Linked DNA regions of Tamandua tetradactyla. The protein of the gene in region 2 interacts with the protein of the main gene of each other region in a pairwise test. Links are inferred from orthologs where the notes say so. Each region holds a gene or a part of one and is shown on either strand. Other genes may lie near its edges. The genes, in order: SALL2 and CEP76.

Region 1 (15,359 bases), on a different chromosome or scaffold from region 2:
CGTAAATATATAATCATTAAGATATTTAAGCTTTGGGATGGTTGTTAAAAGTACTAGATTATTAAAACACCCACAGTACTAACCAAATAGTACACTTCTCGTTTCTTTGCCTGAATGGTTTTTTTTCTTGTTTTGTTAATACTCAATTTTTTACTCTCTGAGCAAAACAAAATATCTCTAGATTTAGTGACTCTACTGTTGCTAAACTAACAGTTTAGAAAAGACATGGGGAATCAAAGATGGGTCTAATGTAAAGAAAGACTAGTGAAGTCTGTTTCGGGTATCAGGAGACTGATATTTCTTGGTTGATTAGGAAGTTCCAGGGGTGATACCCAGAGACCCAGGAGCAGAAGTTTGTGAGGAAAAAAAATGTGCCAATAGAATGTGGGCCTTTTTGGGGGCTGTCAGAAGTTGACTTCTCTGGAAAGCAGGTGCTAGGATTCAAGAAGCATTATTGGGGGAGGGGGAGCAACAACTGTAAAAAGGAAAAGGAGGAAAAAGTGGTATTAGATAGGGAGAGATATCAGATTGTGACACAACTTAGACCTGATATTCTCTGTCAGATCAATAGTGAGTTCTGGAAGAAACACTGCTCATTAGATTCCCATATTTGATGAGAATGGCTAAATCCTTTCACCACCACCTTGCTTAGTCTTTGGCCAAGTGCTGAAGAAAAATGAGACCACTGGAGGCAATCAGCTAACCAGGTTCCTTCCAGCTATGTAGTCGGATCTGTCTTGAACAGGCATCTTTGAGGCAGGGCATCTCTATGTCTACTAAAAGGGGCTTGGTGGAGGAACTTACATAGGTTCTTAAATTGTAACTCCATTGGTCTCAGGTTATTGTATGTTAATAAGTAACAAAGTAGTTATTATGAAAACTGAAATCAAGAGAACTGTACACCCCCTCCCCCTTCTCCAGTTTTGTATTATGAATTAGTTGTTTTCCTCTCTTGCATCCCATGGAACATTGTGTCTATCATAGTATTTACTATCACTATCTAAAAGTAAATGTACATTTTCTCTCCTCCTAGTCTGTCCTCTTCTAGGGAAAGGAGTATATCTTATTTACCTTTGTATCTAACCAACACTTGGTTTCTGAAACAAAGTAAATCTTCAAAAATTTACTGAATGAATGAAACTATATCTTGCTTGTTTTATCAACATTGAATCCTTTAATTTTATTTCATAAAATGTGTTTCTGCAAGCTGAATTTATTTACATACTCATTCCAGAAGGTTAGAATTAATTTACCTTATGAAAAGATAACCAGTGAAAAGTGATTGAGAGTGAAAAATGGTGGGGCTGGGGGTGGGTAGGAAGACTTGCAAGAAATTAAATGCTTTAAGAAAAAGAATAAATTAGGGTGAAGAAAAAAGCAGAAATAAAAGCTGTCAGATTAAGAGAGGGAAATTGAAACAAGAAAAAGAGGCAAAGCAGGAGAGGAAAAAGAATGAAAAGGAAGCAGAAGAGAAAACAATGTATAGCTATGAAAAACAAGTATAGCTACGAGAAGATGGGAGGCCATCAGACTCAGTGCTGACCTCGAGGAAGAATCCATCAATAAAAGGTTCACTGACAGCTGTTACCATATGGGATCTGGCACCTAAAGTTAAATGGCATAATTTATGTCTGATGGGGGTGGGGAAATAAAGGGAAAGGAAAGATTGGTGACCTACCTCATTCCATAGATTGAAAAGAAAAACAGATCTACAAGGCTTTGTGAGGATTTAGAGACAGGAGCCATTTGTTTCTTCCGTAGTGGGCCTCACAAAAATCCCATGGATTCCTTTTCATCAGTTACATCTTAAAAGGGAACTGCACTGTTTCGGTATGAGCAACTCGAATTGAACATTGGTTCTTGACCTTGAATTGAGCCAATAATAGGCTTACATACCTCCTTCACTTCTGTCTTCCAGCCAGCCTCACACCAGGTATCTTTAATGATGTAGCAGCAATCTACTGATCACTAGTAGTAGCACTAGATGGGGATTCTGGACCTTGGTTCTTGATCCAACTCTGCAATTAACTGATTGAATGACTTTGGACAAATCATTTCACTGGTCCTGTTCCTTTAGCACTATGATTCAATGATAACTTAATCTTAAAAATACAAAAAAAATTTTTTTGGAAAATGTTCTTTAGAAAAGCAAGGCCTCAGAGACAGATCTGAACCTTACTATGTTGTGGAGAGACAAAGAAAAAAATGCATGCTTCATTTCACTTCCAGATGTGCTTCCTCTGCACTCCTAATGCTAAGAATCCTCCTTTATCTTGTTGGTAGAAATTATTAGGGTTGAATTATTTTTTGTCCTTTCTGTTTACATCAGATCTCAAGAATCATGGAGATTAATTCACTTTGTTTCTACAAATAACTGATGTCAGCTAGGCTGGCCTAGGGGGCAAAGAAAGACTGATAAAGATGCAGTTTCCAATCTCCAAATACAATGCAATGCAGAAGTGCAGAGGAAGATTCTCATTGTACTGGCAAAGAGAAAAACCTAGACAATGACTTGTCACAGTGGGCAAACTCCTGCCCTCTGAAGAGCACAAACTCTGGTTCTGTAGAGAAATTACATATACTGGAGGGTTTTTTAGGGCAGGCTGAATAAATTAAATACTGTAACAACATATGTTCAGCTTTGGCAGGAGATGTAGGTGGGAAGGGAATCTCAATGTTAAGGAATGCCCATATCACATCACAGCTGGCTATTTAGTCATAAAAAAAAAAGGAGAAACACAAAGATACTTGGTCAAAACACCTTTAATGATGGAAGGAAAGACACTAATATCTCCCTTGTCTGTTCTTCACATTTTACTATGTTAGGAAGCTCTGGAGCCTATACCTTTGGAGAAGTCATCATTTCAGTCAGTCAGTTGCAGAACTCTCATTCTCTTCTCCTCAGAACTCCTGTTCCAAATGATTCTATATTAAGAGTAAATACTACATCTCATTCAAGGTGGAGAAGTAGGGAGGCCACCACCTAGAGCTACTCTCCCAAAATCTGGGACTCGAAGAACCAGACAGTGGGTAAGACATAAGCTCTGGTCTATGGACAGGCAAAATGGGGAGGAGGAAAGGGGCCTTGAGAGGAAGATAGGAAAACGCTAGGGACCAGAGAATAAAGGACAGATTTATCTAAAACTAGAAACACATTAGTGCTAGGAAATCTCCCATGATCCGTGGTATGCTGCTGCATACTATGTCATTATTGGCCCAAAAGAACACTCATGAGATCCATCCAATCAGAACCGGAGATCCCCTCCCTTATATCATGTCTCTTTTTGAATCACATAAGTTCCCAGCAGGCCCTATGCTTTAGCAACACTCCTCAACTCTCCATCATTACTCCATCAACCACTTTCATCGGTAACACCCATTCAAGTTATGAACTAACTTCACATTTCCCAAATTATTCTATGGAAAACCTCTTGGCAAGAAATCTGCTTGATTCCTAATTCTGAGAATCCATGATGACGGAATATGAGAAGCTGGAGACATCCTGGCATATCAACCACCAACATCTTTGCCTTAATGTGACTATCAAGGGGTTTACTGAGAAGAGTGTCCTATGCCCTTCATATCTCCCTACCCCCCAGGGTTGAGTCACCAATTACAGCAGCTTCTTTGTTTACCTTCTGGAGTAGGGGGAGGGAGAAGGAACATACAGTTTGCTACTTGTCTTTTATGATGGGGTTCTCAAGAACTGCCTTGGGTACAGGAGGCTGAAATAGGAGGAGGGGGGCTGTCGTCTCCTTGGCCTCTCTGGATCCCGTTGCTGGAGGCACCTTCCCAGCCACAGTTCCTGGGCCAAACAGCACTGGTGGTGACGGGCCTGGAGCCATATTGGAGGAGGAGCTGGAAATCCGGGGCTTGGTGGGCAGGCCACTTGACAGGAAAGCCGTGTACTGGTTCCAGAAAGATAGGGGACCCACCCCCACCAGCTGGGCAGGAATATCCTGGGACAAGAAGTCCTGCAGGTTGACCTGGTCACCAGAGAGGAGTGGCACTGGGCCCTCCAGGGACAGCTGCCGGCCCCTTCGGGCTGGGCTACAATTCCAAACGTGGGTGCTCAGTTGCACCTGCCAAAGGGAAAGGGAGAGGAAAAAAGGAGAGGGGAGAAAGGGTCACCCTAGGGAAGCTGGAGAAGGTTCCCCATGGGAATGTGGGAGCTTGCAGAGAATCTGTGTTCCTCAGGTACAAAGAATGAGGAGGGAGAAAAAAATTCCTAAGGGGACCATCCCCCTGAGCCCAATGATCTCCAAGCTCAGGGACTAGAGAAAAGTCATTAGGGACATTACCATGTAAGAACTCAGAGAAAAGGACAGATAAGGGCTCATAAAATCTGCAGCTCTGTTTCTGCTCCCTGGTCAAAGGCAGCAGGTACAGAGAAATGGGCTCATGGGATTGTGGGGTCATCTTTCCGGGAAAAGGGGGAGAGCCCTGGGGAAGTGATGGAGGGCGAACAGCCTGGGACCAAGGAAAGAGAAGCAATATTCTGAGGGCCATGGGGGGCAAAGGGCTGTACCTGGTGGTGAGCCAGCAGCATATGCTTCTTGAGAGGAGCCCGCTCGAGAAAGCCCTGCTTGCAGAAAATACAAGTGAAGATTGGCCCCTCCTTGGGGTGGGTCTTCTGATGTTCCTCCAAGGCTGCCTCGGTGGGAAAGACCTGGCTACATACCTCACAGGCCTTTCTGCTGCTGCTCTCTGCTGGCTCCTTTCTCATCACTTCCTGCATGCCCATCCCCTCCACCATGGTGATACTGGTGCCTTCCCCATCTCGGGTGAGTGCTGACATTGGGCTTGAGCTACTCTCTGGTTTGCCCCCCTCTTCTGAGCCTCCAGTGACATCGTTGCCTCCCTGCTCCAATGGCTGTGGTTGATCCAGGCTGTCAGGTGGTGGTGGTGGTGGTAGTGGTAGAACTGACTGTTGAATGACTTTCTCACTACAGTCCATCTCCTTTCCAGTCGTGGCTGCTGCCGCCACTGCCCCCACTTCCTCTTCTGCTCCAGATGCCTCTTCTGAATCACCTCGCACTGATATTGCTTTCTCACCCCCACTTTCTGAGCCTCTCCCCACCAGGGAATCTTCATCTGTCACATCTTCCTCTTCCTCCTCCTCTTCCTCCTCTTCTTCAGACAACTCATCTTCCAGGGATTGCTGCTGGGGAAAGCTCCCTGTCCCAGAGATTGTGGATTGCTCAGAGCCATTCTCCTGGGCAACTCCCCCACCTTCAGGGAGTGTGGTACCACCGTTGGGGATCTGTCCCCCCAAGTGCATCCGAACATGCTGCTGCAGAGTAACAGCATTGGTGAACTTCTTCTGGCAAATGGGGCAGGAGTTCTGGGCTCGGGCAGCTGGACTGGCCTTGTGGCCCACAAAATGTGCACGTAGATTACCACGGGTGGAAAAGGCTCTGCCACACACTTTGCATTTGAAGGGCCGCTCACCTCCATGTTGGCCATAATGCAGGCGTAGTGCCCTAGGACAGCTCAGTACCCGGAGGCAGATGACACACTGATTAGGTCCAGATGAGGCAGAGGATGAAGCTGCAGGGGCAGAGGTGGTGGGGGCTCCTGAGGCAGTAGAGGCCACTGCCACAGCTCCTTGACGGTCAATCTTTTCTACCAGCTGCTGCAGCTTCGATGTCTCAGAGGGTGAGGCCCCCAAAGGCTCCAACACATAGGGAAAAGGAAAGCTACCAGTAGACTTGAAGTGGTTGGTAAGCAGTGCCCAGCTGGGTAGTGAAGTCACCAACTTACTTAGCTGCATGCGGGTTGCAGTACCACTTTCTGCCACCCCCGTGATGGCTGAGCCCTCGTTCCCTGGAGGGGTATTTTCATCAGCTTTACTCTTGGGCTCCACGGCTTTCATGAGCACAAATTTATTGAAAGCAGGGAGCCCAGGGGCTGTGGCTGTGCCTGCACTGGTGGAAAGCAGCGTCAGGCTTTCTGTAGCACTGAGTGCTGTAGTAGAGGCCACCAGAGGCTTGCGTTCAACACCTACACCTGGCGTGGCCTCCTCTTCAGCCTTCTCTGGTGGCACAGACATACCATAGGGCAGACCACTGCTGGTAATGACATAGTCTAGGTGCTCTGGAACTGGGTGTGGGTTCATCTGCACATGCGGATACTTCTCACGGTGTCGGTGGAAGTGTACTTTGAGGTTGCCACGTGTGGTAAAGCGGTTGCCACAGACATTGCACTTGTAGGGCCTCTCGCCAGTGTGGGAACGCAGGTGAATCTGCAGGGCGCTGTCACTGCCAAACACTTTGGCGCAGAAGCGGCATTTGTGCCGCCCACCAGGCTTCTCCAAGGGACCCATTACCTCCCCATAGCCCAGTTCACCACTTCCGTTCTTTGGCTTCAGGAGTCCTGGGGAGGCAGCAGCCTCAAGGCCTCGGGCTGCCCCAAGGCACTGGGCTGCCAGTAGTCCAGTGGTGCTTGGGAATGCCAGGTGAGGTGAGGCAATCACTTGATCTGTGCTGCCTGGCAAGGCTGGGGAGGGGGCAGGGGTGGGCTTGTGGCTTCGCCCAACCCCTCCAGCAGAGAAAGGATGCTGTGTCCCCAGTGGGTGATAGAGGTGGAAGAAAGCCTGCTTGGGTGTTTCTGCTCCTGAGGAAGAGGAGGAGGATGAAGATGCCAGTGTCTTGCCAGTTTGGACAGGCTTGATGGGGCTAAAGAGGGGTAGCAGGGGCTTGGTGGAAGAGGCAGTCCCTGTACCAGGCAGCTCTGAGGGACTGGCAGGGGCCCCCACCGTCTGGCCTAAGGAGCCGAGCAGCAGCACCTGGCGGCAGATTTGCTCAGTCATCTGCATCTGATGGATCTGCCGCTGCTGCAGCACCCTTAGCTCTTCCAGGATCAGAGGAATGTTCAAGTGGCCACCGCCTACACCTGGGGGTGGAGGAGGAGGGGGTGGAGGAGGGGGAGGTGCAGGGGTGGACTCTGGAGCTAATGGGGTTGCTCCAAGCTTGGGACTGGCTAAGATTAGGCCCCCACCTCCCCCAGCCGCTGTACCTGTGGCAGCGACCAGGAAGTGCCCGGCAGACTCCTCTCCTCTCCCCTCTGGGGCCCAGTTGGGATCCGAGGGCATGGAAGACCCAGAATCCGGAGGGTTGCTATGTTCTGTGTCCATGATCTGAGGACTACTGTGACCTTCAGGCCGGGGTTCAGAGGAGGGAGAAGAGTTGTTGGGGTTCTCTTGGCCCCCAGTTATCACCATTACAGGAGGGTCGGTAGAGCATGCGTCTTGATGAGCGAGGAATTCGGCTGGGTCAGTGAACTGTGCGCAGCACTTGGCACAGACTTGGAGAAGGTCCTCCTCGTTAGCATCACCTGGGGGGAGACAAGGAGGGAGAGCGTGGCTGCTACGGGTGGGGACGGATTGACAGAGGCTCCAATTAACGAGCCCAGTAACTGCTGGTTGGGGGTGGGGAGATGAGCTCACCATCAGGCCACGCAGAAGGCTAGAGCTCAGTCCTGACCCGCTTCCACACGCGGGGATGGGGGTGGGGCAGGGCGCGCGCAAGCAACACCCTCCCCGCACAGCCCGCCGCCCTCCCCCATCATGGACCGCCCGCGAGTGCAAGGGATGAGTGTGAGGGCGGACACCAACGCAGTGAATCGTGTATTTTATCCTCTCCACGGAAAGTCTTTCGCCCCCGCGCGCCCCCTTCCCTCCACACCCCTGCCCAGGCCGGGCCCTACCGCACCTCCGAGCTCCGTCGGCTTCCCGCAGGGCCCTGCAAGGCGAGAGCTCCTCCCGGCTTCTTGCGCCATGGTTGTGGGGGAGGGGGAGGGCAGGGTGGGGTGGGAGACAATAGGGATGGGGATTGGGTGAGGCGGCGATAGCCGCCGGGGCAGCTGCAGCCTCTGCGCTCAGCGGCGGAGACTGCGGCGATGGAGCTCGGCGGCGGGGGCAGGGAGCAGCGGAGGAGGGGGAGGGGAGTTTGGAGACGCGGAGGAGGGGAGGAGCTGGAGCGAGAAAGCTGGGAGAGGGGATTTCGCGGGGAGGAGCCGCTGGGAAGGGGAGTTTGTGGGGACCAGTGCTGGGGAGATGGGCGGGAGCGAAGAGTAGCTGGAGGGCGGGACCCATAAACCGAGGAGGGTTTCCGGAGGCTCAATGACAGGTGCTCTGGCTCCCTGTGGGGGGCCACCTTTCCTTGCTCTCTGCCAATTCCCCCCATCCCCAGATGTCCTTGCCCAAACCTGCCCCGGGCAAGCTTAAGGGAAGCACAGTGGGAGCACAGCCCTGCTCAATAGAGCAAGTCCATAGGATTCTCTTATTTTTCTTAGGAAAAAGATCCTCGGACTCCAGAGGACTCCATAGAGGGTAGTCTGAACTCCTCAGAGGCCTGAGGGACAGAGGGGAAGGCGGACCCGAAACATCCACCCCTTCAACACAGCCCCAAATACTCTAAGTTTTGTCCCATCTTCCTCACTTCCATTTCCACCCTCAGCCCATTTCGCCCACCCTCGAAAATAAGTTTCTGAGGGCTGGAGGCTGCAAAGTAGAATTTCCAAGGACGTCACTTCAGGACTCCTTGTCGCTGAACATTAAGCCCCTTAGCTCCCGGCCCCTCCTCCCCCAGAATAATAGCTGAATGCAAGTTACTCCACAGATCAATCACACAACACCTAATTTATGGAATTCCTGCTTACTTAAGAAGCCGTCTCCTATTTAGTACCCTCTTCTCTACCCTCACCCCCTCCATTCTCCTTCTCCTACAATACACGCACACTGTCACTATTAAGGAGACAGCTGGTTTTGGGAAGATGCTAGCCTTCAGAGGCCTACGGAAACTCTCTCGGCTCTATCCTGCGGGGAGGGGAAAGGGCGGAGCTCCTCCGGCAACAATTGTGATTTGAATGGGCATAATAAACACACTGTTCCAATCCCAGTTCTCTTCTTGCCCTAATGGTAAATCAAAGCATGGCCGTCAGTCACACCAGACATGCCTCTGGTTTCCTTTTTGTAAAGTGGTAATACTGTAGCTCTTCTACCTTCCTCAGAGAAATACTGTGGGAACAGAAATTGGAATTTTTTTGATGCATAAAACTAATACATGTATATGGGACTTTAAAAAAAACTGGAGGAGCCATGAAAATTATGTTAGAGAATTTGCATCGTTAATAACAAAATAGATAGTAAGTCAGCTTGAAATACATATATACTAAAATTAGATCTGTTTAACGTTGCATATTAATTTCTGAGGTAAGATATTGGTGAGTATCATTGACATTTGTCAAGGACAGGGAGGTTTTTTGGGGGGGGAGGGGAGCTGAAACAACCTAATTAAAATATTTGTAACATCCATTTCATTTTTCAACATAACTTTTACCTATCTTTTTTACTTGAAGACATTTTACTGAATTATGTTTTGAAATCTCAGATAATCATGAGGATTTTAAGATTATGAAATGCAGCTCTGAAACGAATGGGGTCCTGTGCTTCTAGACCTGACCCTTTTAATAAGGGAGAGGCAGGTCTGTTTCAGTTATGGGGAGTTACAGGATAGTACAATGAGGTTTATTTTTACAGGTAAGGAAATCGAAGCTTGGAGAGGTTAAGTGACTTTTCCAAGTTCACACAGTAATTCAGAGAAGCAAGCATTCAGGTTTTTGACTCCTGTCCAGTACTTTCTCAAGCACCTCAACATTGTGTAACTTCCCTAAGGCTAGAGAAAGGGCCTTGTGTGGCTCCTACGTGTCATTTGCTCTCTGGCCTCGGTATGGGAGAGGGAATCAGAGGGAAGCTTTCTACTGAGCATTTGTTAATTAGCATTGAACATTTGATATCAAGTTGCTGTTTTGTCAAGTCTTCCGACAAGAAAAGAAATCCTTTTCTTTTCATCTTCTCCTGGGAAACACTGTCCCCTTTCTTGCTCTTTAATGAAACTTGCTTTCAGATGTGTAATTTGATCTGCTCTCTTCTTTAAGGTAAATTTAGTCCCTGGTGAAAGGTGACGGATCATCAGCCACCTGTAAGAGGAACCCTCTATTTCTCAGCACTTTGCACTCACTGCCTATCCTGAAAAGGGGGGCAGGATTCTTAGGCAGACATGAATGAAGTCACAAACACAGGAATCAACTTAGCTGGTAATGGTGTCCCTAGATAGCAGATAAGGTGAGGTAAGCTATCCTGGGTCACATGCAAAGTCTGGGATGGATATAGGTCTAAGACCCGGACGTGCTTGTTTAAGTTTACAAAGAGCTGAAAATGCCAAGGAAAAAGGAAACCAGCTGGCTTCCCCCTTTGAGCCTGATTCCCTATCACACTGCAGCTTTAGGTTTAGGAGAGAATGCTTAGGAAAAACAAAGAGAAAAATAGGTGGGTAGTGTGCAGTGGGGTGGTATGTTTGAACAGTAGTTCTCAAACTGTGGTACACATCAGAATTACCAGGAGAGCTTTAAAAAATCGCAATGTCCAGGCCATACTCCAGACTAATTAATTCACTATCTCTGAGGGTGAGGTCCAAGTATTAGCATGTTTTTAACTCTTTCCACATGATTCCAACGTACAGCCAAGGTTGGTTGAGAACCGCTATAGGAGGATTGTCTTTTCCATCAAAACTTCCACTCTTCTTCTCAAATCTTCCTGGGCTAAACCTGGGCAAAACTCGAACACACAGAAAGTTGCCAAGTGCTAAATCTTCCAGTAGGATCCCTCTCTACTCTGCCCACAGCTACGCTTTAGCTTTCCTCTACCCTTATCTATGAAAAACCTGCCTCTTTGGACTGACTTTATTCCTGACTGTGAATTTAAGTGACTGTATTGCTTTTCTTAGAGTATGTGCATCTTGAGCCATATTCTGTTTGTCAAATGGAAGACTTTGTTCTCAATAGAGTTCTAGCAACAGGCAGCCATTAAGGAAACAGAACACAATGCAAAAGCGCAACAGTTAACATTGCACCTACACTAATTGATAGCTCCCATAATTATGACTTAATTCTGTAGCTGCTGTTATAGACGACTTCTAAAGGAGAATGCCCTATCTTTCTCTTTGTCCCTTTTCTCTCCTAAACACACACACATATTTTGCCACCCACACCTGCCATGCATCTATGGCCTGTGCTGCAGAGTAGACAAAAAGGCACAAGGATTTGTAGACCTGTTGCTAAGTGAGAAAAATATATCTATTTCTAGAACAGGAACGTCTTAGGCCAAACATACAAAAAGGATCTTTTTATGGGCATTTTTCTGGCATTAAAGGACTCAGCACTTAACCTGGAACTAGAACACTTTGGAGATCTCATTGAGCACAGTGGTTGAGAGCCCCAACTCTGAATCAAAGACATCGGAGTTAAAATCCCAGCTCTAGTTGTTCCTAATGTGTGACCTTGAGAAAGTTTTTTAATCTAATACTTGGTTTTCTCTTCTTTAAAATGGGTATAAAAATAGGGGAGTTGGGGGTGGTGTGACAGTGGCTCAGTGGCAGAGTTCTCGCCTGCCATGCCTGAGATCCAGGTTCAATTCCTGGTGCCTGCCCTTGCAAAAAAAAGGGGGTGGGGGGTGGGGAGAGGGGTGGTTTGGGAGGAATAAATGAAAGGAATTGCGTCAAGAGCCTGCATAGTACCTGAGAAATAGTAAATGCTCCATAAATATTAGCTATGAGTATTATGGTTTAAAGGCCAAAAGCTAAAGGCCTAGGAAGAAAAGGGAATCGCCCAAGGTCAAATAACTTCAAGACCCGAGCTGGATGGAAAACCAGCTTTTCTGCTTCCTTACCCAATGTACTATTGTACCATTCCTGGATTACTTTCTATCTACTCTGAAATGTGTTTTTCTGACTCAGGTGTGCCAGGGCTGAGCAGCCCAGGGTTCAATAGCCCAAGAGATGAGGCTTTCTGCTTCTAGATGTGAAGAAAACAGAACCCTCAAAACTCTATTTTTTTCTTCTCTCCTCTTTGGCTGCTCTTGTTGCCTCCCAGCTACCATCTAAAACAGTCCCCTCTTTCCCTCTAGACCTGTCTGGCTGTTGTCCTGGTTTCTCCTTCTCACTAAATATCTGGGTTTCTGATGGTTTCCTTTATTTCCCAGATGTACTAGTTAGCATTTTCCCAGTTACATCCCTTATGTTCTCTAATTCAGATTTCTATACTCTGAAGGGGAGAGGGAGAGTTTTTTTCTCTCCAGAGTAAATAGACTATTTCCTGCTTATTGCTTATGTGTAATAACTATTCAGTTAGGTTTTAGCATTCTGGACAGGGAATCTGAGCAAAAACAGGGCTTTTAAACAGGTTCTTCAGATTGTCTCTTGGTGATGTCCTAGATTGCCGCAGAAATGAGGCTTTAAAAATGTCAAACATTTTTAAACAAAGGCTCAGCATTTGCTTGTCCGCGTGTGGTAAACATTGTTTAAAATAAGGCAAAAGACTCCTGGAAACATTAGTGGCACGCTAGACTACTAAATAAATGTTTGCTGATGATCATGATGATGCTTATAATTTCACTGATACACCAAAGGACACAGTGTTCCCCAAATAAGAGTCTTTCCTAATTTTGAGGCATGTAGAAAATGTCTCTGGGGCAGAAGGGTAAGGCAGGAGTCTGAAGATGGCATAAGTGAATAGAAACCCTGTTTATGCATAGACAGGGAAAGAGAGATTTATATATCTTAAGTTTATAAGAACAGGGAGGAATTTTGATTATGATCAAATACAGGTCATGTTAGTAGCCCAAGATCTTTTACTCTCAAGGAAATGTTGATGAGAAAACCCTTTGAATTTCTTAAGGTATATCTTAAGAGATGGGCTTTCTTTTAAACTTTTTTTATTAATTAAAAAAAATTAACAAACAAAACATTTAGATATCATTCCATTCTACATATACAATCAGTAATTCTTAATAAAGAGATGGGCTTTCTTGCTCCTCACATTTATGGTTCTGATTTTCCTGACTCAAAGGCTAAATTTCAACTGAAATTTGTTGCTGCCTTTGGTTCAAGCCTACACTGGGGGTGGCTATCCTGCCCCGAAGTGTTCACCGCCCCAAGATCTTGAGAGATATAACTCAAAGGGTTTGAGAATCCATTCAAGGCAGTGGTTAAAGATTCCTGTTGACACTCTCACAGAAAGATTTTTTTCCTCAGCTGTGGTATAAAGAGTGGATGAGCAGGCAAGGGAGAAGTGGGAAGGAGAGGGGAGGATGCCTACTGGGGTTCAGAATTGTTCCACAATTGAACCAGCAGGGGATAAGGATTGTGAGGCAACTCTGAGGCTCTAGGGGAAGTTTCCTATAAGGGCACTAGGAGGAAGCATCCGGTCTGTAGCAGCATTAAGGAGGGATAATGTGTCCCCCGAGGGGAGGATGCTACCACCACCTCTAAATATGGGCACAGTGGGATCCCAGCAAAGCAGTGACTTGGGGAGGATGTGTTCTACCCAAAACACAATCTGCCTAAGGTTGTTCCATCATCCATGCAGCCCTGATTTGACTTTCAAGTCTTTTTATAAAAACAGGTGGAAAAGGCAAGTTTAATCCATGAAAGAGTGTCCATCACTACAAATGACTGACTGTATCCTAGAGTTTTTTCATAGCACACATCTCATAAAGAAATGCTGAAGTTCACCTAGCACTTCTTGAGCTTTCATCAAATTTCAGCATTTGCAGAAAGTGCCACTGTACTAACGTAATAATAATACCCACATATGCTAAGTACTTATTTATGCTAGGTATTTTTCTGAGTACTTTACATGTGTTAACTTGTTACATTTCTCACAACAAACTAATGAGGTAGCTAGTATACTCATCCCTATTTTTTAGGTGAGGAAACTGAGGCAAGCAGTGAAGCCGGAATTTAAACCATGGCAGTTTGGCTTCAGAACTTCGGCTCTTAACCTTACACTAGATTGTTGGGTGCGCAACTGCTTGCTAAATACATAGTTGATCCCTGGGCCAGGTCTTCCAGACTATCATGGATGTGCACATATGTACCCACACTTCTAACCAGAGAGTCCAAAACTTGCTTGACCCTAAAATTACCTGCATCCTTGCAAAAGATACAGATTCCTAGACCTATCCCAGATCTACTTACCATCAAGTGAGTTTAAGAAACCCTGATTTAGTGGAGTAAGCACCACTGACACAGATCTTCAGGAAACCTAAGTTTTTGTCCTGACTGCTGCTGTCTCTGAGTTGATAGACAACGTCCCTTTTGAATATCTCAGTTGCTCTGTTGTCTGCCCAGCTTTCATTTGCATGTTATAAGAATATGTGAAAAAAAAAATTCCTCATAAAGAAAGTCCGTTGCTTAAACAACAAATGATAATATCCTCAAAAAAAATGATACACCTGGCTTCATGGGTCTGTTAACCCACACATTGCTTTTAGTTTGGCTTCCCTTGGAGCACACAACTAAGCCCCTCATCCAGAGCCTGACAAGCTCTTCCAGTATCTACCCCAGGTGACACAGATATACACACCCCAAACCAGGTTGCATTCTGACCGACATTAGCTCTCCCCTCTGGGAGCTCTGATCTGCTCTCAACTCAGCCCAACAATGAGAAACTTTTTTTCTTTTCTCCCTCAAGGGAACCTTCACGTTTCTCCAATTCATTCTCTTGCAACCCAACTCTCCAAAAAGAAAAGGGGGGAAAATCCCACTCCTAAGAGCCAGTCTTCAGGTCTGAGGACGTTACTTAGCAACGGCACAAAGACCAGTGAGCAAAGGGGGACCTGGGGAGAAAACTCTTGAGCAGGGAGACAGAGCCAGTTTGAAAACTCCATTTCATCCAGTGAAAAACAACAAGGAAAACACAAACATAATCAATCCTGAGAAAAGCCAAGCAGTGCTTCTCCCCAGGCCAGGTCCTCTCCTTACTCCCTGCATCTCAACTCTTTCAAAGGCCCAATGACCAAGACCTCCCCATACTGCTTTCACCCATGGCCTGGGCGCCCTCCCCTTGCCCTGCTCTGACCCACACAGGCTTGGGCTCAGCTCTCCTCCCCCCCCCTTTTATACCCACCCCCCGTCCCTTCCCCTCCCTGCTCCCCCCCTGCCCCAGGCACCCACCGTTCTCAGAGGCGCTGGGACCTTCACAGTCCGAGATTAACTGTTGGGGTTTCCTTTGCTTTCGCCGAGACATTCCCGGGCTGAGAGATGGGAAAGGGAGGGGCAGTGCTCACTTAGTCTTAACTGGGGTGACCTGGTCCAGTCTCCCCCTTAGGTCTAAAGCCAATTGATGCCTCTTCCCCAGTGCAAATCACTGTGAAGAGATATTCTCCCTTCTCAGAGACAGACTCTCTGACTCTGTCCCTGACTCTCTCTCTCTCTCTCTTTCTCTCTCAATCTCTGCAAGTCTTTAAAGGGGAGACGCCCCCTTTTTTTTCTTCAGCTTCTTCCCTACGCTTCTGCAGC
Region 2 (15,263 bases):
ATTATAATACTGAACCACTTATTCAAAACTAAGGGGTTTCTGTCCTGTGGAAAAGGGCAGAATGTGATCGTGAGTGTCCCACTGGAAGAGACAATCAATTTCCTAGAACAGTGGGAAATAGTGGCAAGCAACATGACCTTGATCAGCTCCAGTATGTGGCCTGGGGTTAGGGCACTAGGGTGATCTATTATGGCTTCTTTGTCTGCTTGGTTTGGATCCTGATGGGGACTATCCTGCTCCTTTGGAGAAAAATCGTTCACCTTCACCGCGCTTCTGAGCCACAGCGTCATGGTGCTGAGACTCGGGCAGGTATTTCCTTCTTTCCTTTGGAATTTTCCCTTCTGCCTCTAGTTTAGCCTGGGCTTGCCTTCTCTTAAGAATATGGTGGTACTGTCTGGCATTAACATAGGGAGGCTCTTCTTCGAGCGTCTCAGCTAGGTAGGGGGATTCTTTGTATAGCCAGCACACACCGACCCCAGGCACCATCATGACCATCCCTCCTGAATTGCCCATATTGCCTGCTACCAGTAGTGTCACAGAGACAGTCCCTTGTCCACTGCTGGTTGTGTTGGTGTTGGCTTCTGTCTGAACAATCTGTGCTCCTGCCAAGCTGGCAGCTGGGATGGCAATCATGAACCGAAACAGGGACTATAACTTGCTGGAGAATGGTGCCATCTGCATTAACTGGCTGACAGAAAATGGTCTGCCCTTTCTGGTACTATTTTCCACTGTACCAGGAAATTGATCTTCTCTTTCAGGGGGATACTCATGATCGCACTCTGCCCCTTTCTATAGGACAGAAACCATTCAGTTTTTAGTAAGTGGTTCAGTATTATAATTACAGTAATGTCTGGCAAATTGAAGTTGCAAGCCTTTACCTCTTGTTGCTTCTGGCCAGCAGTCTGTGGCTGGGTCTGGCCCTGCTGACCCTGCACCTGCACAGCCTGTCCACATTGGATCTGGATCTGTCTGGGTGGGACCAATTGTATCTGCTGTAAACCCTGTGTCCCAGATACAGGTACTTGCATGATGGTTTGATCTTGTCCACCAGGGACAGCCTGGACCATGATGGGTTGGCCGGATGATATGATTAATTGGCATTCACTGACTTGCACCATTAACGGCTACCCTTGGAGCTGCTGCTGAATCTGTCTAGCCTACACAACAATCTGTTCTGTGGAACTATTGCTGTTTGCTATATACTGCTCCATGATCTCTCCAAGTCAGAATATCTTCCACAGTGAGCTTTGCTCTGGAGATCCTAGAAGACTGCAAGGTGCAGTCCGTGCCTCGCTCCCCTGGTTTGCTGCCCATGCTGATTGGCTCCAGTATCAAACCCCAAAACCCAATCAGAGGCTCCTGATGCTGCCTCGCAAAATTTATTATAAATAAATTTTGATACAAAATATCAAAAAGTATTTTTCTTCAGACTTTACCTGTAAAACTAGAGAAGCATTCATCTGGAAAATATTGGTATTAAGACCAATAAAATCATCTCTAATATGCTAAACTTTTTGGTTTTTGAGGACATCTAGGTCTTTTCTGATATCCTTCTGTCTTCTCTTTGGAGGACAGCCACACTCACTGGGATTAAAAGAAGAATGAAATGTAGGAGCATGTTAGCCGTATAATAAATGTTCTTCAGTTCTTGAAAGACTTGAAATAATGTGCAAAATGTTCTGTGAGTTAATGTGTGCGCATTTCATCTGGGAAAAGGACCTATAACTTTCATCAGATTCTTTAAGAAGTCCACTTTAGGGATGCTTCAGGCTACCCTGCACAATTTCACCTCCAAGAGTGAGAAGCTCTGATATGAACCAACAACAAAAATAGGTCTCTAAGTGTTTAGGCCACTGTGCTAATGGGTATGCTTTTTGCTACTATAAAGCAATTACAAATAGCACTAGACTGGAGCAAATCCTTTGGTAGGTCATGTTTCTCTTGGTTTAAGATCTTTTGTGGGACTGTCTCCTTGTGGCTTGTGTGGTGTGGAATGGTTGGGGGTTAAGCTGTACTCAGCAAGTCCAGTGAGCACCATTATGTTCAGAGCTAAAGAGGCTAGAATGGGAGGTAGTACAGGGAAAGGCAGGGAAAGGAACAGGCATAGGGCACTCCTCTAATCGATATAGATCTAGGTGGGGAAAGTATCTCTGGGTGGCCAGGCTAAGCTTTTTTTTGACATGGGCAGGCACCAGGAATCAAACCTGGGGCTCCGGAATGTCAGGCAAGAACTTTGCCCGCTGAGCCACTGTGGCCCACCCCAAACTAAGTTTTAAAATGCAGATATACCATTTTTTATAAGAGCAATACCCATACCCTTCAATTCTATATCATGCAACTATTTTTGTTGCTAAGACCTTGATACTTTCTTCTGATGTGATACAGTATGAAAGCAACATTACTTTTATGTGTTCTAATAAAAAATATTTAACTTAAACCTAATCAATCCTCAAGATCAAACTTTCAGTTTTAGAAAATACAGGGGCTAGACCCACAAGCCAAATGACACCAGAAGGAAGTAATCAGGTAAATGCAGAAGGTGGGAGAGCCTGTAAGACAATGGGCCAGTCTGTGTCAGAGGAGAGTAAGTGGACCTTTAAGTAGAGCAAAGGTGCGCTAGCAGAATGATGTGGTGCTTAAGAGGCAGGTCTCTGGAGCCAGACTGCCTTGATTAAAATCCCAGCTCCACCAATTATTAATTATGTGACTGAACAAATTACTCAACTTCTCTGAACCATGGTTTCCTCATCTATAAGACTATCTTTTGGAGTTGGCATGAGGATTAAGGGAATTAACACATGTAAAGTGAAGTTGTGTCCAGCTCATAGTAAATGCTCAATAAATGATTGTTGTCATTAGTGCAAAGTATAGGACTTCTAGTACCACCAGTTTACCCAGATAAGCATTCATCTGGAAAATACTGGTATTAAGACCAATAAAATCATCTTTAAGAATGCTAAACTTTTTGGGTTTTGAGAACAGCTAAGTCTTTACTGATATTCCCCCGTCTTCTCTTTGGAGGACAGTCACACTCACTGGGATTAACAGAAGAATGAAATGTAGTAGAGTGTTAGCCATATACCTTCTAAGGCAATAACTAAAATTCAGCCTTTCATGTTAACAAAATCATCAATCTTATGTCAACAAAACCATGGGTTTTATGTTAACAAAACCATCTCTCCTGCAGGAATTTCAATTAAGATTATTTCTCAAAAGTTCATTTCATCATTGTAAGCTAAGAATAAATGACAGGGTTAATAAAACTGACAAAAAAATAAAAATATTTCTTCATTTGTACTTCAATCCACCAGGCATCTCTCATGGGCCCCATCACCTTTGGCTTTGACCTTAAAATGTTAAACAGAAGATAGAGAGGCTAACAGAGCCATCAACAAAGTGGATATTCCTGTCTTCAAGAACAACAGGTGTCTTTCCTCTGTTCTCTTGGTTCTCTCCCACATTATAACCAAACAGCAGTCAGTGCAATGTAAATTATGTTCCCTAATTAAAAAAGTCTGATTTGTCCAATGAAGAATTACGGAAATTTATGCTAAGTCAAAAGTCTACACCAGGCATTAGAGAACTCAGACTCTCAGGGTCTTATCATCTATATCATAGTATTATGGATTCTATAGTTAAGCAGCAAGAAGACTGAGGCTTAGAAGAGGGAGCACATGCTAAGCATGGAGGACTGCACCCTTTTCTTTTCTCCTTTTCCCAGGTATCAGTGGTGATAATTATACATGCCAGTAAAAACAAAAAATAAAACTGAGGATAAAAGGGAAAAAAAAAATCCACGTTGGGATGGAAGGGTAATAAAAAGAGGAAATCTTAAAATTCTAAACAAAGATACAAAGAACAATTACATCTCTTGTAGGAGTTGCCATTTAGAAAAGAACAAGAAATAAAACCAGGATGTAAGAGAATAGGACAGTGCAACTAGGTTGTACAATCTGCACAAAGCTGGCACTAAGTAAATGTTTGCTTTGAAACAGTATTCACAGAATCTATCCTAATTTAAAACAACTCTACCAGGTAGTACAACAAACCATTCTGAGGCCTTACCTTCAGTATTTGTACTGAGTTCTGTTGAATTTTCTTCCTCAGTTGCATATGGGTTGTTCCCAACCATCGGCACAAGACAATCAGTATAGAAGTAACCAATCTTAGACATATTCAGTGTGGAAATAATCAGGTCTATTGCAAGCTGACCAACATTTCCAACAGATACTGCTGGCTGAAACCATAAACGATGATTAATAAGTCGTAGGAATTAGTTACATTTAAAAAAAATTAGAAGGCAATCACAGCACTAGTTAGTACTGAATAGTTATGCTCAGGTGCCTCGCTTGATACACTTTCTTTAAGGGTAACAGAAATGTCATCTGGGCCATCTCCACGTTTGAGGCCACTCATTTAACAAATACTTGTTGATGACCTACTATGTGTCAATTATTGCTCTAAGCACTGGGGAAGCAGTAAAACAAATCAGACAAAAATCCCTGCTCTTGTGGTGGAGTTTTCATTCTAGTGAAAGTGGTTTACTTATAATAAACAATAAACTGGTAAAATATATAATAAAATATACAGTGGTTAAAGCCAAGAAAAAGGATATCATATATGAGTGTGTGTGTGTGTGTGTGTGTGTGTATGGCTGCAATTTTAAAAACAGTGACAGAGGAAAGACTCACTTCAGGTGACAAGTACCTAAGACCTAAAGAAGGAAAAGGAGAGTCATGTAATAACCTGGGAAAAGAATGATGCAGGCAATGGAAAAGAAAGTGTAAAAGCTGTAAGGTATGAACAAAAGCGTGTGTGAGTCTTCTTTCAGTTTGCTTTGTTAGTGCCTTTTTCTGCACACTCCTATAGCTGGAGTGAATTTCACATTAAACATATATGCATACGTGTGCATGTTTCGTGTGTATATTCACACATACACAGACTTACCCCAATTGACTTCAAACAACCCAAATGCCAAATTCCAACCTCCCATCAGGACACCTGCCTGAAACCCAGAGCCTAATGGATAGCTCTATGTGTTTATGTCACAAGCAGCTCACAGTCAACAAGTAAAAAACTAACTTTTGCCAAAACTTGTCCCCCATTTTAAAGTTCACAAAATAGCAACATTATTTACTCAATTACCTAAACCAGGAAACTTCCTCCCTTTCCATTACCAACTACATCTAATATCTGACTAATTTTTATTGATTTAACTTTTTATTACAGCTTCTCCTTTGCATTCATCCAGTTATTGCTTTTCTCTGGACTTCATATATTTTGCTGGTTCCCTCAAAGTGGTCTCCCACATCTTATGCCATCATGTACTAATTTCTTGTTTACCCTTTTCCCTTCTCAATTAGCTACTCTGCTTGTAGTCTCTTTGTATTTCTCTGTATCATCTCTCTTTTCCCCACTATCAGATCCTTCCCATCGGCATATAAGCATGCTCTAATACTGTTTATTCTAAAAAACCCTCCCTTGACCCCACCTCTCTAACTACCACCTCAATTCTCAGACTCCCTAGATTGCCAAAATTCCCTGATACTGGCCACTAAAATCTAAGCAGAACTTTATCTCAGAATCAATGAAATACATATATACACAAGTATCCATGTCCTCTTCTTTCATATATTCAACCCAACCTGATACAGCTTCCCTCTCTACCACTCCACTAACTGTCTGCCAGGGTTACCATGAGTAATCTCGCTGCTAAACCCAAAAGGACACTTGTTTCAACTTACACAATGTCTGGACTATTTTTGACAGATGTCCCTCCCTCTCTCCTGAAACACTCTTCTCTTTGGATTTCTGTGCTTGATAATTAATATATAAAAGAATGACTGTTGTGTCTCTCTCCAGCTTTGCACCACTCCAAACTGCATTCTCCAAAGGTGCCTCCTGGGTTTACAGGCCTGCAGCCTACTCTGTCTCAAAGTGCCATTCCTCACTCTGGGCCGTGCCCCAGAACCCCATGCTTTTGTGCCTCTGGTTTAAAAAGTCCATCCTTCTGGAATGCTCTACTTTCTACCCCACCCCCCAAAAAAGCCCCACTTTCCTCGCCTTTTAGACATTACTTTTCTATGAAGTTCTTCGTAACAGGCCTCCACTGGACTGTAAACTCCTCGAGGCCGGGGACCGAGTCCTATTCTAACGTTCACACCTGGCAGAATGTTGACTGAAAGGACGAATGAATGTAGCCAATTGCAAAAGCAATAAAACCGTGTCAACTACGAGCAAAAACGTCACTTTCATTACTATTACCACTTCCATTATTCTTTTTTCACTCTCATTGTTTGTAAACCTACCGCCATTCACTAAACTGTAGGCTAGTACAAACATGGCCCAAGCGTGCATTTATGGCGTTTCCCGACAGAGGACTACTCCTCTCTTTCGTTCTCTGGTGAATGGCTCAAGGCGGACCCTAGAAGCAGCTGGAAGATTTCCTAGGATAAAATTTAAGGAAAATGCGCCGCACGAACCAAGTGCAGGGTCTGCGTGATCTCCGAACATAGCACGTTTTACCACCAAGACTCCCTCGGAAGCAGGAGTCGGCACTGCAACGGGCCCGCCGCCTCCGCCGCGGCTGAGGCCGAAACCCGCACCGCCCGTGCCGGCGAGGCGGGGCCGCGCACTCACCATCAGCAGAGTGAAGCCCGCCAGGTCGGGGGCCGGCTCCCCGCAGGGGACGAACATGGCCGCGGCGAGAGGAAGCGCGAGCGAGCAGAGAAGGACCCACGCGCGCGCCGTCTCCACGCGACGCGCCCCAGGGGCCCGGCCGGCAGGCGGGTGGAAGCGAGGCGGGGTCCTTCGTCTCCCCCGGCGCCGGGCTCGGGGCCTTCCGGGGCGGCGCCTGCGCGCTGGGCGGCGCGGGTCCCGTCAGGCGCGGCGCGGGCAGCTCTGCCGGCGCTGCCCGGGTCTGAAGGCGGTTGGGCGCAGCGCGGTGCTGCTCGGCGCGTCCTGCCGCTGGCGGCCGCGGGGTGGGCGGCCCGGGCTCCGTCAGCATGTCGCTGCCCCCGGAGAAGGCCACCGAGCTGAAGCAGCTCATCCACCAGCAGCTGAGCAAGGTGAGGACGCCGCGGGCGAGGGCAGGCCGGGTCGGGGCTCGGAGGGGACGGGAGCAAGGGTTGGGGCCCGGGCGTGAGCGGGGGTCGGGGCGGGTCGGGGCGAGGCAGGGTCGGCCGGGGTGGGAGCTGCGGCCCGGTAGGGCCGAGCGAGGGTTCGGGCAGGGTTAGCGTTGGCCGGCCTTCGGGGCCGGCGTGGGGACAAGCCGGAGCGGGGCTGGGGCTCCCAGGTGGGCAGGGGATGGACCCCTCCGACGAGAGCCTACAGAGGGTTTGAGGCGATTTTGGTATTGCAGGACGGCTGTGAAAATGAAGCTCTTATCGAGTGATTTCCGATAGCCAGATAGTTGAGGATGTGTTTGGAGCAGGTGTTTTTAAATTCACGGATCAGACGTTGGGATTACTCTCAGGGTGGTAGTGGGGATGCCGTTGAAGTTGAGTCAGTAGCTTAAAGCGCCACTTCGCGGAGAAATCGTGGAAGAGAAGTGACTAAAATGTTTGTAAGGAGAGTATTCGGGATACTGCGAGCTCAAGAATGACACTGAGTCTTTGAGTGCCCAACTGAATGCATTATAAGTTGAAGGAAGAAAAATTGGACATGGAGATAATTTTAATATAAGCTACCATTTGTTTTGCACTAATTTGTGTACCAGATTTTACACTCAGTGTTTAGCACCTTTTATTTAAACTTCATAACCATCTTATAAGAGGGTAGCATTTTTTCCCATTTTGTATATGAGGAAACAGATTCAGAAAGGGAAAATAAATCGACTCAGGGTTACACGTCTAATAAACTGAAAGCTATAATTTTGACTTTGATTTGCCCTGTCCAGGCTTCTGTTCTTTGATTATTCTCTACTCTTTCTCAAAATATACGTCGTGTTGAGCATTGTTTGTGGAGAAGTGGTAACAAAGACAACAGGTAGTCAATAGACTCTTTTTCTAGAATTTATACTGGAAGTTTCATCTTTTAAAAAATTACTTTGTTTCTTCCTTTTAAAATTTTTACTTTTATTGTCATTGAATTGTAGTTACAATTTTACATTTATCCTTAGCTTGAAACACCTAAAGCTCAGGCTCCCCAGATGTGGCCTTTTGATCTCCTCCTCCCTTTTTTTTTCTTTATTACTGTAAGTTAGCATTTTAGAAAGAAATCAACATTAGCAACATTTGGTTGCTTTGATAATCTGTGCTCATTAGGAGTAAAAGAAATGTAATGCAAGTTTTCTACATAGATGGATGTCCATGGCAGAATAAGAGAAATCCTTGCTGAGACTATACGTGAAGAATTAGCACCTGATCAACAGCAGTTATCAACAGAGGATTTAATCAAAGCCCTTAGACGTCGAGGAATCATTGATGATGTGATGAAAGAACTTACTTTTGTTACTGTGAGTAATCTTTTGGGGTAAATAATTGAGAGTGTAAGTGTATTCTCATGCTTACCACTGTTTATAGGGTCCATATTTGGGACCTCTGCTGTTAGTAAGACCACTTTAAAATAAAGCTGTTTTGCAAATAACATCCTTGTTTTAAGTATAAATTGACACTATCCTTGAGCAAAGCATATATTATTAAACATTAGTGAAATTGGAGTTATATGTCATATTCCTTTTTCCATGGTGTCAGAATTTCCTCATTATTCACTAGGGTCAGTAACTTTAAATATGCATGTTTCAGTCAAATTAGTTCACCATCGAAGTCCTTTTTCACTAAACTTGTTCTGTAATTTTTTTGATTGACACTTATTTTTTTAAAAAGCTTTGGGGGGAAACTATGTTTTCTATGATTAACAAATTATCAATCTCTGTAAGTAAATAACTGATTAAGGTCTTTCAAATCTTTTCATACAAATAGGTCAGTAGTGGCATGTTAGCCTCTCAGTGCACGATTAGTAAGTAGGCCTTCTTTTGAAAATGAGGCAATAATGAGAAACTGTGACCTCAATACCTGGGTAATATAACAAAAAATTAAAATGGGCTTGGTAATACACTAGGGAATAAGTATTTTAATGCAGTGCCCTTTTTTGGTTTTTGAGGTTTATAAACCTGTTTGTTATAAAAATTGACCTAATAACAACTTTTGCTGTGTGACTGCCACTTCCTTATTAAAATCAGTTCAGGATGGAACATAAGCCAGATGTTATATGTGGTTTAGAGAAAGTTTAACTTTTTAGCACTTCTGTGGATAGCATTTTTAAAAAACATTTTTTATTGTGGAATAATAAAAAATCACTTTATACAGGAAAGTGATAAATTTCAAAGAACAGTTTAACAAGTAGTTATAGAGCAAATTTCAAAGTAGTGTGGGTTACAGTTTTACAGTTTTAGGTATTTTCTTCTGGCTGTATTAATGCACTAGAAACTAAACAGAAATATCTGTATAATGATTCAGTGCTCATAATCATTTGTTAAGTTCTAACTTTTCTGTTACAACTCCTCTCCCTCTCATTTGATCATTCTCTCTGTTTTCAGGGATATTTGGTCAGTGACCATTCTAACTTCATGTTTAAAGGGGGTGTTGACATTATGGGGTATAGGGTTGCAACTGGTTGATGTTCTGGGAGAAATAGGTACCTCTGAGTTTCAGGGCTTATCTGGCATAGGAACAATCTGGAGGCTTTAAGTTTCTGAAAAATAAACTTATAGGTAAAACTTTTATAGAGTCTTATATAGAGCCCTGGGTTTTCTTTAGGGTTTTTCAGGAATGCTGTTGGTTGGGGCTTAGCATACCATGACACTGTAATATCTGGGATGGCATTGTTTGAAGACAGTTTAATTACTTAGTGTTAGGAGTGATCAGTTGCATCATCTTTTATGGAGGCTTTTAAGATTTTATTATTTTCATTTTCTAGGAAAACAAGGGAGTTTTTGGTGGGTACCTTATCTTACCTACTCTTGATTCAGTGCTTTGTCCTATCATTGGCATTTTCTTCCTTAACCATAATTTTTTTTTTATTAATTAAAAAAAGAATTAACAAAACAATTAGAAATCATTCCATTCTACATGTACAATCAGTAATTCTTAATAACATCACATAGTTGCATATTCATCATTTCTTAGTACATTTGCATCGATTTAGAAAAAGAAATAAAAAGACAACAGAATAAGAATTAAAACATTAATAGAAAGAAAAAAAAAAACAAACAAAAAACCTATACCTCACATGCAGCTTCATTCAGTGTTTTAACATAATTACATTACAATTGGGTAGTATTGTGCTGTCCATTTCTGAGTTTTTATATCCAGTCCCGTTGTACAGTCTGTATCCCTTCAGCTCCAATTACCCCTTCTCTTTTTTTTTTTTTTTTTAATTAACGGAAAAAAAGAAATTAACCCAACATTTAGAAATCATACCATTCTACATATGCAATCAGTAATTCTTAACATCATCACATAGATGCATGATCATCATTTCTTAGTACATTTGCATCGCCTTAACCATAATTTTTGTTTTCTAATTTGTTTTGATTTTTTTGTGCCTTTCCAGGACAGTGTTGATCAAGAACTCCCTTCCTCTCCAAAACGACCGGCTTGTTTTACTGATAGACAATCAACGTTGTTAAAAAAAAGTATGTTTATTTTTTTTTTAAAGTATTAATTTAGTTGTAGATAGTAATAGATATTGATGTGCTATAGTGTTTGATATTTGATAATAAAGTTTCAGTTGCATTTGTAGGAAATAAAATAATTAAAATTTTGTGGTAATCAACCAAAAACTTAAATTCAGTTTTGCATGAAATATCTCAAGACTTAATGTATAACACAGTAGAAGCAAAACTGGAAGTTATTTCTTAGTTTTTGATAGTATATTTTGTATAGCCTTATTGTTATTTTTTAATGGTAATATAAGCACCTGACAGGTGCACTTGCTTGTCTTTGATAATTGTCTAAGATCGTTTGTGGAGGTGAAGAAATGTTAGATAACAGCGAAAAAGTAAAGGTACTGAGCCTGGCCTCTGATCCCTTCCTAGCTGGGAGAAAGTAGACAGAAGGTAAATTCAGAAAAGACTGTCATTATGTATCTCTTCTTCCCAGTGTGTAAATGATCCTGGTACACAGTAAATTGTTAGTCCTTCTCTATTTTTGCCTTTGGTTTTAGTTCTGTCAAGTTAATTCCTGTTGTCTTGATCACATTCCTCAAGTTATTTTGGCAGTTTCCTCATATATATTGCTACACTTTACAGCTAATATTGATCCAACACGGAGGTATCTTTACCTTCAGGTTTTGGGTGGAAAAGCTTTCTTGGAACATCTGCAAGAACCTGAACCTTTACCTGGACAAGTTTGCTCCACCTTTACTTTATGTTTGCATTTTCGAAACCAACGTTTTCGTTCTAAACCTGTTCCATGTGCCTGTGAACCAGATTTTCATGATGGCTTTTTACTTGAAGTACACAGGGAAAGCTTAGGTAAGGAAACATGCAAACTGTTGTTAAACTGAGTAAATCCTGGTTGGGTTTTATTATAGAACAACTCATAACTTTTGCTATAGGGGAGATTTATAATGGATGAAACTCCCTAGTCTTTTTGTTTTATTTTTTCCCTTTTACTCTTTTCTGTTCTATTTAAATTACTTTTACTCACCTTCCTGCTTTTGTTCTTTGTTTGCTAATTTATGTTCTCCTCAGATTAATTTAACTATTTTAATTGTTGGTTCTTTTGTAATATGTGTTTAATGCCTATTACGTACATGGCACCATGCTATATGGGGATATAGTGGAGCCTGAGAGAGATCATTTCATCTCATCTCATCTCATTTTCAAGGGATGGCTAGTTTGAAGATGTTATATAACTTTAAAAAGACAAATTTAGATTCAAATCTATAGCTATCTTGTTTTTTTATCTTATTTTATAGCTATAAAATTATATAATACTTAATTCCTGTCATTGTTTTACCCTATGTCTTTCTATAAAGGCAATTATACAGTTTAGTTGCCAATATAGAAATCTTTGTATTAGAAACTTAACAAAATGGTAGAATTAAACGTTCAGAATTTCAGATTATTAAGATGGCTGATAATGCTACTAAAAATTATTTTTTCTAACAGAGTAAAATGTTAACTTAATAAAGTAGTTAATGGAATAAACCACTATATCCAAGTTTCAGGATTTTTCCTTTTTGTGTAGATAATCCAGTGTTTATTTCTGGAGTTTTTAGAAATAAAGGTAGTTTGGGAATTAAGGTTGATGGATTTGAAGGCTTTTTATTGTAGTGGCATATACTTTAAGTTCTTTTTAAGAATTGTCTTAGCTCTTACAGATCAGAAGGCACTGCTGTGCCGTAAGTAAATGTGTAACTTGTCATGATTCCACCAGTCCTTTCAAATGTTATTGATAGAAGTAGGACTGTGCTTTTATTCCCAGTCTATTGCATGCTTTCTGAGGTATTACTAAATTATTTTATTTGGTTTTATAAAGTCATTATTTAGTATACTTTTCAATAAAAGTTTTTTTTTATGTTGGCTAACTGAATATGTAATATGTTATAATTTTCTGTTTTATGTTGCTAGGTGATGGAACTAGAATGGCTGATTCAACAACAATGTTATCAATAAGTGATCCAATTCATATGGTACTAATTAAAACAGACATTTTTGGTGAGACTACTTTAGTAGCATCCTATTTTCTTGAATGGCGATCAGTTTTGGGCTCGGAAAATGGAGTGACCAATCTTACTGTGGAACTTATGGGTGTAGGTATGAAGATTTTGTATCACCTTTACTTTTTTTTTTTTTTTCATTTACATGGGCAGTCACCGGAAATCGAACCCGGGTCCTCTGGCATTGCAGGCAAGCATTCTTGCCTGCTGAGCCACCGTGGCCCACCCTCACCTTTACTTTTTTATATCTGTAGTTTGTAAATACTTTTTAAATGCCTTTTTAAACCAAATCATGTAAAATAGAATTTCATTAGGAAAATTAGAATTGGACTCCAGCCTTGTAGTTTTAGGAAATGTCCTGGAGAATAGTCTGAATGTAACATTTCACTATCAATATGGCCTTCCTATAAAGAAAACTTTTCTGGAAAATAAATACATGTTGAGGTGTTTATTTGCCTTATATATAAAGCTATTGCTATTCTTGACAGCTGTTAAAAAAAACAGATCTAGTGTACTCCAGCATTCCTGGAAATACAGCATGTCCCCCTTAGCGCCATTTGTTCTTGCAGAATGTGGAGTAGGTATAGTTCTTTCAGCCTGTCACACATGGGGATTAAGACTCTAAGACGTGATTACTTGCTCAACACTAGTGTCATTGAAGAATGTTCCTTGAAGGCAGAGTTGATGGGTACCTATTCTCCACTGTCCCTGGAGTCTTGCATACTGCCTGATATGTAAACTTGTTTATTCTTAAAAAGAGAGGCAAGGGTGGGCCCCGGTGGCTCAGCAGGCAGAAATCTCACCTGCCAACCTGAAGACCTAGGTTCGATTCCTGGTGCCTGCCCATCCAAAAAAGAAAAGAGAGAGAAACAAAACCAAACCTTTCAGTGTTTTATGCTTAACATATAATGGAATTGCTTTGGTCTTAAACTTAGAGTTAAACCTGGCCAATGGGCTGTATACTCTTATTAATTTAAATGTTGATGAGTCAGACCCTGAGTATGTTTTTCCTTAAATAAAAAGTAGAGAAAAAATTTTCTTTATGTAGAAAATTTATTTTTGAAAAAATGCCTAGTTTTTGTCTTCACAAATAGCCATAACATGATAATTGTAGTAATGCCCCAGGAGCAAGCATTCTAATTAAAAAAATAGTTCTGATGGGGAGGGTATGTATTTTTCTAATTTTTAAAATCCAGGCATGGATTGAAAATTTGTGCTGATATGTGGGAATGGGGTAAATGGGAATTTACCTTATGTGACAAATTTAATAATGAATATAGAAGCCTTCTTTTTTTTCATTGAATAAGATTGAGCAGTTAATATTGCTTTGAATATGCTTTTACTGTGAGTCTGGCTGGTATACTTATTTTTTTACTTTTTTATTGTACAATATGACATATATACAAATCAAAGAAAGAAAAAAGCTATAGTTTTCAAAGCACTCTTCAACAAGTGATTACGGGACAAATCCCAGAGTTTATCATGGGCTACCATACCATCATCTCAGATTTTTCCTTCAAGATGCTCCAGGAGTTGGAGACTAGAAGGAATATATATTTTTTATCATCACTTTTTTCTATTTTGTGAAATATATATATATATATATATATATATATATATATGCATAAAAGCAATAAATTTCAAAGCACAATGCAACAATTAGTTGTAGAATTGAGTTCAGTGTTTGGTATGGGTTATAATTCCACAATTTTAGGCTTTTACTTCTAACTGCTCTAAGATACTGGAGAGTAAAACAAATATCAGTATAATGACTCAACAACCATACTCATTTGTTAAACCCTACCTTCTCTGTATACCTCCACCATCACCTTTGATCTTTCTCCCACTCGTTAGGGATATTTGGGCTATGCCCAATCTACCTTTTTCATGTTGGAAGGTAGGGAGATGAAACTAGTTGATGTTCTGGAAAGGCTTGCCTCTCTAAATTTCGGGAGTTACCTGGTCCAGTGACCCACTGGTGGGGAGGTTGTAGGTTTCTGAAAAGTTACCCTAGTGCATGGAACCTTTGTAGAATCTTATATATATATATTGCCCTAGGCGTTCTTTAAGATTGGCTGGAATGGTTTTTATTGGGGTTTGGCAAGTTATGATGAGTAGCAATATCTAACTGAAGCATGTGTAAGAGTGACCTCCAGAGTAACCTCTCAACTCTGAACTCTCTCAACCATTGATACTTTGTTATACTTCTTTTCTCCCTTTTGTTCAGGATGGCATTGTTGATCCCACAGTGCCAGGGCCAGACACATCCCTGGGAGTCATCTCTCATGCCACCAGGGAGACTTTCACCCCTGGATGTCATGTCCCTCGTAGGGAGTACAGCATTGATTTCGCTTGCAGAGTTGGGCTTAGAGAGAGGCAGGCCACATCTGCTGGATGGTATATATTTAGTGAAGCCAAAAGAGAAGAATCCCAAATCCTTAAGTCCCCAAAAGTCCTTAAAACATGATAGCAAGCTAAAGAAAATGAACTTTCCTTACAATTAGATAAAAAGTAAAATGTCTAATTTGATTTGTCTTATTTTCAACATGAATATTAAAGGTGATGTTGAATATTATCTTTATTCCATGTAAGTGGTA

Evidence for each region.
Region 1: the proteins of CEP76 (region 2) and SALL2 interact in binary tests that used the Homo sapiens proteins (3 or more experiments, as listed by UniProt). The two-hybrid records come from large-scale screens. The link is inferred for Tamandua tetradactyla from reciprocal best matches to the Homo sapiens genes CEP76 and SALL2.

The regions. Positions count from the first base shown.
Region 1 is NC_135340.1:34,912,890-34,928,248, reverse strand, and holds SALL2 (sal-like protein 2), read right to left. Parts: upstream 7,877-15,359; 5' UTR 7,780-7,876; coding exon 7,713-7,779; intron 7,336-7,712; coding exon 4,529-7,335; intron 4,083-4,528; coding exon 3,675-4,082; 3' UTR 2,606-3,674; downstream 1-2,605. UniProt on the Homo sapiens protein: Probable transcription factor that plays a role in eye development before, during, and after optic fissure closure.
Region 2 is NC_135344.1:76,580,515-76,595,777, reverse strand, and holds the start of CEP76 (centrosomal protein of 76 kDa), read left to right. Parts: upstream 1-6,940; 5' UTR 6,941-7,004; coding exon 7,005-7,067; intron 7,068-7,305; exon of another isoform or gene 7,306-7,432; intron 7,433-7,754; exon of another isoform or gene 7,755-7,986; intron 7,987-8,299; coding exon 8,300-8,455; intron 8,456-10,554; coding exon 10,555-10,636; intron 10,637-11,251; coding exon 11,252-11,476; intron 11,477-12,577; coding exon 12,578-12,763; intron 12,764-15,263. Other genes in the region: PSMG2 (proteasome assembly chaperone 2), read right to left, coding at 4,066-4,237, 6,640-6,696. UniProt on the Homo sapiens protein: Centrosomal protein involved in regulation of centriole duplication. Required to limit centriole duplication to once per cell cycle by preventing centriole reduplication.